Drosophila melanogaster: one gene and its partners. The protein of the gene in region 3 purifies or fractionates together with the protein of the main gene of each other region. This does not show direct contact. Each region holds a gene or a part of one and is shown on either strand. Other genes may lie near its edges.

What was found.
Region 1: the proteins of Spt6 (region 3) and Rrp46 purify together in Drosophila melanogaster (co-purification; one study listed by BioGRID). This does not show direct contact.
Region 2: the proteins of Spt6 (region 3) and Rrp42 purify together in Drosophila melanogaster (co-purification; one study listed by BioGRID). This does not show direct contact.

Annotation. Positions count from the first base shown.
Region 1 is NT_033777.3:10,411,341-10,414,788, reverse strand, and holds Rrp46 (Rrp46), read right to left. Parts: upstream 1,489-3,448; 5' UTR 1,417-1,488; coding exon 1,311-1,416; intron 1,246-1,310; coding exon 1,010-1,245; intron 952-1,009; coding exon 592-951; 3' UTR 557-591; downstream 1-556. Other genes in the region: CG6345 (uncharacterized protein), read left to right, coding at 1-556; Irp-1B (iron regulatory protein 1B), read left to right, coding at 1,974-1,980, 2,077-2,169, 2,991-3,160, 3,222-3,437.
Region 2 is NT_033778.4:16,012,928-16,016,592, forward strand, and holds Rrp42 (Rrp42), read left to right. Parts: upstream 1-1,980; 5' UTR 1,981-2,050; coding exon 2,051-2,107; intron 2,108-2,164; coding exon 2,165-2,361; intron 2,362-2,412; coding exon 2,413-2,578; intron 2,579-2,632; coding exon 2,633-3,103; 3' UTR 3,104-3,123; downstream 3,124-3,665. Other genes in the region: CG8389 (uncharacterized protein), read left to right, coding at 1-609; Prosbeta1 (proteasome beta1 subunit), read right to left, coding at 964-1,118, 1,187-1,661, 1,725-1,769; EMC7 (ER membrane protein complex subunit 7), read right to left, coding at 3,212-3,337, 3,404-3,532, 3,598-3,665.
Region 3 is NC_004354.4:6,266,240-6,269,993, forward strand, and holds the start of Spt6 (Spt6), read left to right. Parts: upstream 1-1,557; 5' UTR 1,558-1,667; coding exon 1,668-1,706; intron 1,707-1,867; coding exon 1,868-1,952; intron 1,953-2,527; coding exon 2,528-2,733; intron 2,734-2,885; coding exon 2,886-3,005; intron 3,006-3,074; coding exon 3,075-3,226; intron 3,227-3,291; coding exon 3,292-3,754. Other genes in the region: schlank, read right to left, coding at 168-352. UniProt on the Drosophila melanogaster protein: Histone H3-H4 chaperone that plays a role in maintenance of chromatin structure during RNA polymerase II transcription elongation.

The DNA of each region.
Region 1 (3,448 bases), on a different chromosome or scaffold from region 3:
GGCTTATCTGGAACTTGTGCAGCACATCAGACAGTTTTTGCCCAACGTGGGGCTGTCCAGCGATTTTATCTGCGGCTTTTGCGGTGAAACGGAAGAGGAGTTCCAAGACACTGTATCTCTTATCCAACAAGTGCAGTACAACGTGGCCTACTTGTTCGCCTACAGCATGCGAGAAAAGACCACTGCCCATCGGCGCTACAAAGATGATGTGCCCATAAACGTGAAGAATGAGCGACTGCAGCGCATGGTCCAGGTTTTCCGAGAGGGAGCTACACAGCTACATCGTAAAATGGAAGGCCAGGAGCAGCTCATACTTATAGAAGGGAAAAGCAAGAGGTCCGATGCTCACTGGTTCGGTCGGAATGATGCCAATATCAAGGTCATAGTTCCTTCTATATATGTACCCATATCTGGAGATTCCACAGCCAGAAAATCGTTTGGAGTAGGTGACTTTTTGGCCGTCCGCATTGAGGAATCCAACTCACAGGTGCTGAAGGGCACGCCCCTCGAGCTGAGCAACATAACCGACTTTCACAGCAGACAGTTAATACAATAAAATGAGCTTTAATCGTAGTTTCAGTTGTTTTAACATCACGTCTCATTGACGTCCTCCTTCTTAGCCGTCGCCTCACTCCTGCCATGATACTTTGCAACCTGGTTGCGATAGAACTGAAAGATCTCGGCACTGGCAGCCAGGCATAGGCACTCAATATCATTGAACTGGGCTATTTTGAAAGAGCCCTTTGTCTGGATCAACAAAAGGTTTCCTTCTACAGAATCAAAGGCGAATGTAAAACTGGCGCGCTGGTGGAGGGTTTCACTTTGGTCCGGATCTAGCACATACTCGCCCTGCTCGTTGATGATGGCGTGGACAGCCGCAAAGCTATACTTTAAAGGCAGGCCTCCGATGAGCATGGCTAGGCAGGCGCAATTTACGGCGCAGGCATCAATCTGATAGAATATATATATTGTTAGAAGGATTACAGATGAAGGAGATTCAAAAACATACACTGCCACGATCTTCCAGCTCCTGGATCTGCACGGACATCTTGGAGCGCGGATGAGCCTCCGACAGGAGGGCCAGTTCCAGCACATCCCGAATGGCCGCCTCCCGAATCCGATCGGTAACCTGCGGCAGGCCCGCTTTTGGTCGGTAGTTACACTCCAAGTAGCTGCCATCTATGCTCAGGTTTTGGGTCTTCACCTCGATGGGGCCGAGAACTGCGCCTATGAGACCTGTAGCACCTGAAATTGGCAAGACCATGTTAGCCGGTTCTGGCCATGTACTAGAGTTGAAAACACGGCTATACCCTGGCTGTACATCACGGATCCGTCGCAACGCGACAAGGGATTGAATTCGCAGTGCATCTGGCGAAGCTTATCCTTTTCCACGTCCATTTTCGCTGGTAAATTCATATTATATTTTCCTAATATTCAAAGAAAACAACGTGCGCGTGCTATCGCCTCGTATTTTCGATAACGATTTCAATTTTCCCTCGACATATCGGTGCAATATGATGTTGCGATTGCACGAGCTCTGTCGATTACTGATAGGTTTGGCGGGTGGAGTTTTCATTTTAAAAATGAACCATATGTTATACAACTTTCAATTATTTTCGTCGATTTAGTTTACTGATAATTGCACAAATTTCAGGCTTTTCAAAAGATGGTGTATTACATAAATATCCGAATAGTTATTACTGCATTTAATACATATGATAATAACATACCAAGCGCAGAACACTATAATCTCATTTTAGAAAAAGAGAAGTGAACATAAAGCTATCGTTTTATAAAATATAATGCACCATATATAATGTATAAAATGCACTGTCGATCCGACTGGCGATATACGCAACTATCGCTGGCTATCGATAGACAGCGAAGGCTGGCCAGCTCCTATCCGAACTGCTTCTCCAATCAGTTTCTTGCTTTGCTCGTCCGGAATAAGTTCAGTAAAGAGTTCCAATAAGATGTCAGGTGGGTTGCCAGTCCGGAGCTTTGCAGTTCCCTCGACTACCATATACCCTGTCCCCCGAATCCTGTGGCTTATATAACACATTCGTATCGTCGCAGGCGCCAATCCCTTCGCCCAGTTCGAGAAAACTTTCTCCCAGGCCGGCACAACATACAAGTACTTTGACCTCGCCTCCATCGATAGTAAATATGGTAAGTGGATGTGGTCTTAAGAAGGCTTTAAAAGTGGGCGTGTCTGTCTACGTGGTCGCAATAAACTAGGCTAAACATGCATATCAAAAATGGGATTAATTAAGCACCTGTTGAAGTTGGAGTTTGACCCCTGAATTGAAAAAGAAGCGTAGAAGAACAGCTCAATTTGCAAGTCAGGCAATGTCAAGTAGAAGGTGCTCCCGGAGCATTAAGTGGATTTTCTATAGTTTTCTATGGGCGGGCTTGTCTTGCGCCGAAAGCGAAAGTTATCACCGCCAGATTGCCTCATAATGGGGCTCGTCTAGCGGTGATAACGAATCGTGTGCCTCCGAAATTTGATTTCCATTTCCCAATTTTACGTGCTCACTTATCAGCGAATTAAAACTTCGCAGATCTGCTGATTTGGGGTCGTAGTCCGATGACTCCGAAAAATCTCAAGATCAGTGGAATGTTTTTACTGGAACCGCGCGTGTCCAGAAATCGGGGTTCTGAGGTGAGGGCTTCTTTGGTGGCTCCTCCCATATAGTGACGCCTGTGAATCGCATTAAGTGCTGGACAAACGTAATCATTGTGCCTGTGATAAGAAGTGACTGCTATCTGACTAGCACACTTTAAACTAACTAAGGTGGACGGTTATAGAAAAAGGGAGGTTCTTTACTCTACTCGTGAATTTTAATTCAACAAGTGCAACTTAAAGGTTTTTTAAAGATACATACGTTTAGTGCGGCAAATTGTCTTAGGTCCTCTCACCAAGAGGCTTTACTGTACCTGTGATGAAATTCTAAACACTTTGATTAACACTTAACATTTCCAACGCGTAGATCAACTGCCCTACTCGATCCGAGTGCTCTTGGAGTCGGCGGTTCGCAACTGCGACAACTTCCATATCCTAGAGAAGGACGTGCAGAGCATCCTGGGATGGTCGCCCGCCCTCAAGCAGGGATCCAACGATGTGGAGGTGTCCTTCAAGCCGGCCCGTGTCATCCTGCAGGTGAGTTTCATACGGCAATCTAGCAAAGTAATATTTAAATTATATAATATCTTGCTACTAGGACTTTACTGGAGTTCCTGCTGTGGTGGACTTTGCAGCTATGCGCGATGCTGTTTTGGATCTGGGCGGCGACCCGGAGAAAATCAATCCCATCTGCCCCGCCGACTTGGTCATCGATCACTCGGTCCAGGTGGACTTCGCCCGTGCGCCTGATGCTTTGGCCAAGAACCAGTCACTGGAATTTGAGCGCAACAAGGAGCGCTTCACCTTCCTGAAGGTTACTTTTCC
Region 2 (3,665 bases), on a different chromosome or scaffold from region 3:
GGCATGGCTCTAGTCTATACGGCCACCATAAACTTCACGATGATCTTTCCTGGTTTTCTTGGACAAACGGCACAACTTAACAGCCAAATGGTGGCCTTCTGCATGTCCCTTGTGGCTGGCGCCGACATTGTGTTCCGTTTGCTGCTGCCCATCGTCACAGATCACCTTAGAATACCCTATCGCGTAGTGTTCCTGATCGGCATTGTTGGACTCTTTGTCGCTCGCTGTGTGCTTGCCGAGAATCAAACGCTGCCCGTGATCATCACCATGTCTGTGTTGACAGGCATGATGAAATCAGCCACTGTAATCAACAACAATCTCACCATATCGGCGCATTGCCGCTCGGAAAAACTGGCCGGCGGTCTGGGTCTGAGCATGATGTCCAAGGGCGTTATTGTTATCACAGTGGGCCAGCTGCTGGGATGGGTGCGAGACTACGCCGACTCCTACCTAATCTGCCTTTATGCTCAAGGAGTCATTCTGCTGGTGGTGGTTCTTGTTTGGACACCGGAGATATTGTACCGCCACCGCAGGCAGCGATGTGCCACCAACAAGTCCATGGAGACGCAGTCTATAGACGCAGCTGAAGTGGCCAAACTCAACTCCTAAATCTCTGGTCACTACCTGACTGGATAAGAGTTTAAGCGAAGGATATCGGTATTGACTGTCATGTGATAGGCGATGAAATGACTTCCCCGTAGGGAACATTCCACTCTCGCCGCAGTAGTTATCTGAGTTGTGAGGAAGGACCAGTGTCAGGAACAGCACTATCTGTATGACTATGCATCTTAGGTTTAGGTTTTCGATTATTTATTACCATTTTAGCCCCTAGACCTAACTTTTGTACTGCCATAAGAGCCAAAATACAAATTAAAGTATGCATATTACAAAAACCAGGTTTATTAGCATGAGACGAGTTTGCAACTCTTTCTCTGATCGATCTTACTTGGGTAGGTATACTATTTATTCCGAGGAAATGAAGCTGGGAGTGCTGGAAACAGCCGATGCGCCCGATTCTGTGTTGTAGAAGATGCGTCGCTCGATGCCATCCTTGGTGATGATGCCAATGCGCACCACACCACCGGAGCTGCCATCGTGGTAGATAGCGTGCTGGACAGCTGTTGGAGGAGGTTTAAATGGGATTCGATTGAAGGGAAACTGTTTTGGTTTTTTTGGGATTACCTACCCTTCTTGACGAATGTAACGCAATCCTCCAGCGCCATATTGGGGCGGTAGTGCTCCCTAACAAATCCGTAGATAAAACTAGATCCCGATCCGCCGATGGTGCAGGACTCGCGGGTCAGCATGCCGCCCAACGGGATGCTGTACACCTGGCCGCCGCGCTGCTCATCCCACCCAGCCACAATGATGCCGGCAAGCAGGGACTCGCGGTAGCTGTAGCAGTAATTACGGAACTCTGAGGCGGCCTCGAACACCAGAGCATCCTTGTTGGTCTGATTCTCGTGATAGTTCAGCGAGTAGGCCACAATGTCGGCAATGGCCTGGGTGTCGGCGGCCGAGCCACTGCGGCAGCAGTACACTTTGTCCGTGATGCGGGTCAGCTTGTCGGTGACCCGATTGGCAACATAGGCGCCCGAGCTGGTGCGCGAATCGGCTCCAATGACCACTCCGCCATCGAACTCCACTGCCATAATGGTGGTCTGCAAATAGGTAGGATTGTGCTCTTAGTACGAAGTTATGTGGCTGATGCTCTTCATACTTACACCAGTGCTGACCGGTGTGTCGGTGAAATCAAAGTCGGGCTGCATATTGATCTTTAAATTTGTTACAATTCAATTTACAATTGATATTTGTTGAAACGCCGCACGAACACGAAATGACTGGCTTGTTTTGGATAAGTGTTACCAGATGGCGATGTGAAATGAAATGCTTCAAATGAAAACATACACCTTTCGCACTGACAACAGTTCAGTAAAGTAAAAACGAAGTGCCAGCAGCCCTGCTTTGCGGTATATCGATAGTATCGATGTGGGTTCATTGCACATGTTGAATTTGTTTTGAATATTTGTTTTCTTGAATTAAGTCTAAAATGGCATACGTTGCACTGAGCGAAGCTGAAAAAACATATATTCTACACGGCGTGGAGGTGTGTTAAACGGTTATGCAAGAAATATAGTCTGTACCTTAAACTATGCGTTTCCAGGATGACTTTCGTTGCGATGGACGTTCACGACGAGATTACCGGCCCATGGACCTGGAAACTGGACTGGTTAGCAATGCCAGTGGATCCGCTCGCCTTCGGCTGGCGAACACAGACATACTGGTGGGCGTCAAAACCGAGATTGATGTACCCAACCCGCTGACGCCCGAGTTTGGTAAACTGGAATTTTTTGTGGATTGGTAATGATGCAACTGAAGTTCGAAGAATATGCCATAACATATATATTTCAGCTCTGCTAATGCCACGCCGGAGTTTGAAGGACGCGGGGGCTCGGATCTGGCCCAAGAACTTATTCTCTCCCTGCAGAACGCCTACGAATCGCCATTGGCCTTCAACTACCGCACGTTGTGCCTCATTCCGGGTCAGCAGTGCTGGAAGCTGTACATAGACATCCTGGTTAGACTCTAGTGTGCTTAATTATACCGAAAATGCTAATCCCTGTTCTCGCAGATTCTGGAGTGTGGCGGCAATCTACACGACGCAGTGTCGCTGGCCGCCAAAGCGGCTCTGTTCAACACAAAGCTGCCCCGGGTGACAGCCACCATGTTGGATGCCGGCATCACAGACCTCATCATATCGGACAATCCGTATGACTGCACCCGCATCGGCATCGAGACGGTTCCGCTGTTGGTCACAGTTTGCAAGATCGGTGATTATGTCCTGGTGGATCCTTCGGCGGAGGAGGAAGTCTGCAGCACAGTGAGCATGGTTGTGTCAGTTTCCATGCGGAATGGACAGGCATTCCTTTCGGGTACACACTTGACCGGCGGCGGAGCCATGCACCGGGACACCATGCGCAACTGTCTGGAGCTGGGTCTGGCCATTGGCGAGCATCTGGACCGGCTGCTCACTAAAATGCTAAATCTGGAGCAGCAGCGCGTCGGACTCAAGCGACCGCAAATAGTAGGATTTCTTAAATAAAGCGGCAAAGTCTTGTAATGAAAATTTACTATTTAAACGATCTGACTCTGACTTGGAGCTCGGCGCTCCGATTAAGCTTAATACTAAAAGCTATCTGGTGGCCAACTACTACTGGTCCTTGCGCTTCTTCGCCTGCCTGACGGCCGGAGCAGGCTTCTTCTCCTTGGGCTCGGGCTGCTTGCCCGTTAGCAGTGAAGTCAGCATTTCGCTGATCTCGGGCATATCGTTGCCCATCTGTGGAGCAGAGCATGATTCATATAATACTATAGTGCTGTGCTATACATGATCCTCACGGCTTACCTTTGGGAACTGCAGATTGTCGATCTCCTTCTTTGTCTCGGGATCGTTGATCATCTTGGGCAGCACCAGCATAAGGAGCAGAGGCAAGACCATCATTAGGACCATGGGGCTGAACAAGAAGTCGGTGATCTGTGTGGGTCAAGAGCAAAAGTTAGTTTTGTGATTCTTCCGTTGGTGGCAATATAATGATGCACCTTCCACTGCTCTCTGGTCTGGAAGTATTTAAAGGGCATCAGTGGCTTCACGCGCAGGGGATATGCCA
Region 3 (3,754 bases):
TAAGGAGAGCGAGAAAGAGCGGGAGAGAGCGAGGGAAAGCCGTATGAATGGGGTTAGAGAAAGAGGCGGAATGGAATCATGTTGCCGGGAATGGCGAGAATGGAAAGGGAGTCAGTCAGTTGGTTGGGAAGAGTGCGGAGGGGGGAAAATGGACGTGGAAAACTTACCGCTCCAGCGTGTAGCGGACCAGCATGACAACAGCGGCGAATGGAATGGGCCATATGAGGTCCTTGTAGTTGGCGTGCACCACATCTGGACGCGAGCCGGGCGCAATGTCCGCCCAGGTTGTGTTCGGCGGCAGCCAAATGTGCGTACTCCAGAATACATTGCTGAACTCATTCAATATGTCCATGTTGCTGCTTCAGTTGCCGCTTCTTAATTTCTCAATTGTTTGTTTTCTTTTTCTTGGTTTTCCTTTGCTTAGCTTTCCAGTTTTTCCTTGGCGTTTGTTGTCACATATGTATATGCTTTGCTTTTTCTAAATATTCGCAATTGTATGAGCCTGTGTTATTGTGCCTTGCGAACAACAGCAACAATAACAGCAAGAACAACAATAAGCGACAACAACAGCAACAAGAACAACAACAGGAGCACCGGACACTAATGCACACTCACAGCGTAGCACAAACACACACTGGCAAAAAAACAAAAACCGCCGAATCGAATTGTTGTTGTCTTGTCTCGTTAACTTGCGCTTATGGCTTTTCTAATTCTACTTCTATTTCTATTTGGATTTCGATTTAATTCGTTTTTGGAAATGCTACCTTTGCCGTTTGTTTGGGAGCGTAAATGAAGTGAAGTTCCCTGACAATCTGTTCTCGACCAAAGCAATAGACTTTCTGAATTTCGGCTCGGTGTCGAGTCGGCCGCCGCTCGTTTCGTCCACTTAAACTTTCAGGATGAACGAAAAAAAATACTAATAGTATTTCCTCGTCGAGCAACAACAATACAGTGTGCCCAGAGACGGCGGAGCAGTAAATGTAACTGCAGCGCGACAAGTGTGCCCGTGTACGGGAAGACAAGGAAAGCCAGCAAAAATAAGGCTTTAGAAGCTACACAAAATACCAAATGCACTAATAATTTTAAAGAACTTTTAATTCACAAGTTTGCGAATTTTGTTTATTGCTTATTATTATTATTGTTCATTACGTTTACCACTAGTTTTTGAGAGAAATTATTATGCGCTACAATTAGTGTTGGTTTTTCGGTAAGAACTCATAAAAGTCAACTATGTAAAGGAAGTATGCCATGGACTATAATGGAAATTAGCAAACTTCATCGTTGAGACCAAAGGGCATATGTGTGTTCCCATATAGGGGAATTTTCCCGCTTATCAATACAAGTATGTGTGCAAAATTCTTGTCCAATTGTTGTCAGCACATGAAAACGGATAACTAACCATAGGTTATAGGAAGGATCCACTGTAGTTCTGCAATGCAAACCAGGGCTGGCAGCGAGAACACTGCTGTAAGCTAACAGCAAACTGTACTGTAAACAGTAGAAAACTGTTCGTGGTATTTAGTATTTAGCTAGTATTTTAATACCAACTTTTGTGCAATGCGATGAGAAATAAAGAAGAAGAGAAGAGGAAGAAACGCTCACAAACTCTTCGTTTCTCTGCATTAATACGCACTTTATTATTAAGTTAAGCTTTATTCCATTATATTATGGCCGAATTTCTGGACTCCGAGGCCGAGGAATCGGAGGTAGGTGTCTGCGGAACCCCAAAAACACTATTTCTAGAAGCGCGTACCGTTCGTGCGTCGTTATGTGTGCGGTGTGCGTTGCGCCTTGCGTGTGTGTACATACATATGTGCCTACATATATATTGAATTAACCAAATGGCTTTTCTTCGTTTTTCCCGCAGGAGGAGGAAGAATTGGACGTCAACGAGCGCAAGAGACTCAAGAAACTGAAGGCGGCCGTCTCCGATAGTAGCGAAGAAGAAGAAGGTGAGTTTTTCCACTGGAGCCGCTGAAGGCGCGTACAAATACATACATACATACATACGTATGTGGCGATCTCTGGCGGGTTTTTCACCCCTCTCACCATCCATCGATCGGAACAGTCCATATCCGGGATAAAGGCACCTATAACTGGCCAATGCCACACGCTTGCAACTTCTTTTGTTTACAACTTTGAGGTTAGGTCTTGTGTTTTTACCGTGCTACCGTGGCCATCAAATATCAGCATCAGCAGTAGCAATAGCAGCAGCAACAACAACAAACAGCTGCGCTCGTTCCAGTAAATAAAACAAGTGCGGCGAATTGGAAGAACGCGGCGTATTCCAAGAAATTGCAAATCAAAGCAGGGAGGGAGAATTAGTTCAATAGATGGAGCTGGAATAATCAATGGTTAGGGCTTATCTATATCGAAATCTAGGTAATTTATCAAATGTAGGTCTTTCTCAAAACCGGGTGAATTACTTAAATTTAAGCTTTAAAAACAGTTTTCAGTTGCATATGTATATCTGCGGCTACAATGAAGGTAAAAGGTAAACCGATATTCTTATTGCCCTATTCCGTAGACGACGAGGAACGGCTGCGCGAAGAGCTCAAAGATCTGATCGACGACAATCCCATCGAGGAGGACGATGGCAGTGGTTACGATTCCGATGGCGTCGGCAGCGGCAAGAAGCGCAAAAAGCACGAGGACGACGATCTGGACGATCGACTGGAGGACGACGACTACGATCTTATCGAGGAGAATCTGGGCGTCAAAGTCGAGAGACGGGTAGGTGTTCCCTTCAGGGAAGAACTATGTACTTTTTAAACTCCAATTGTGGCTCCAATTTCGAAGCTTAACTAACAAAGAATAACATAGCTGAGGGATTGGGGCTTCTATCTCCTCAAATATATTGTTTGAAATTATGTTTTCCCTTGTAGAAGCGGTTCAAGCGTCTGCGTCGCATCCACGACAACGAAAGCGATGGCGAGGAGCAGCACGTGGACGAGGGTCTGGTGCGTGAGCAGATTGCCGAGCAGTTGTTCGACGAGAACGATGAGGTATGCCACTAGTAATCCCTGACCACCAATTAATGCACAGTGTCCAACTGATTGCCCCTGATCCTACAGAGCATTGGTCATCGCAGCGAGCGCAGTCACAGGGAGGCGGACGACTACGACGACGTGGATACGGAGTCGGACGCAGATGACTTCATTGTGGACGATAATGGGCGTCCCATAGCCGAGAAGAAGAAGAAACGGCGCCCCATCTTTACAGACGCGTAAGTATACAAACTATAATAAAGTTTAGATATCAATAGATACGATTAATATAATCCAACCACAGATCACTTCAAGAGGGTCAGGACATCTTTGGCGTAGACTTCGACTATGACGACTTCTCAAAGTACGAGGAAGACGACTACGAAGATGACTCGGAAGGAGATGAGTACGATGAGGATCTGGGCGTCGGCGATGATACGCGCGTCAAGAAGAAGAAAGCGCTCAAAAAGAAGGTGGTCAAGAAGACAATCTTCGACATATACGAGCCCAGCGAGCTCAAGCGTGGTCATTTCACCGATATGGACAACGAGATTCGCAAGACAGACATCCCAGAAAGAATGCAGCTGCGAGAGGTGCCCGTAACCCCGGTGCCCGAGGGATCAGACGAGCTGGACCTCGAGGCTGAATGGATCTACAAATATGCCTTCTGCAAGCACACTGTTTCGGAACAGGAAAAGCCGGAGAGCCGCGAGAAAATGCGCAAACCACCGACAACCGTTAACAAGATTAAGCAGACGCTAGAATTT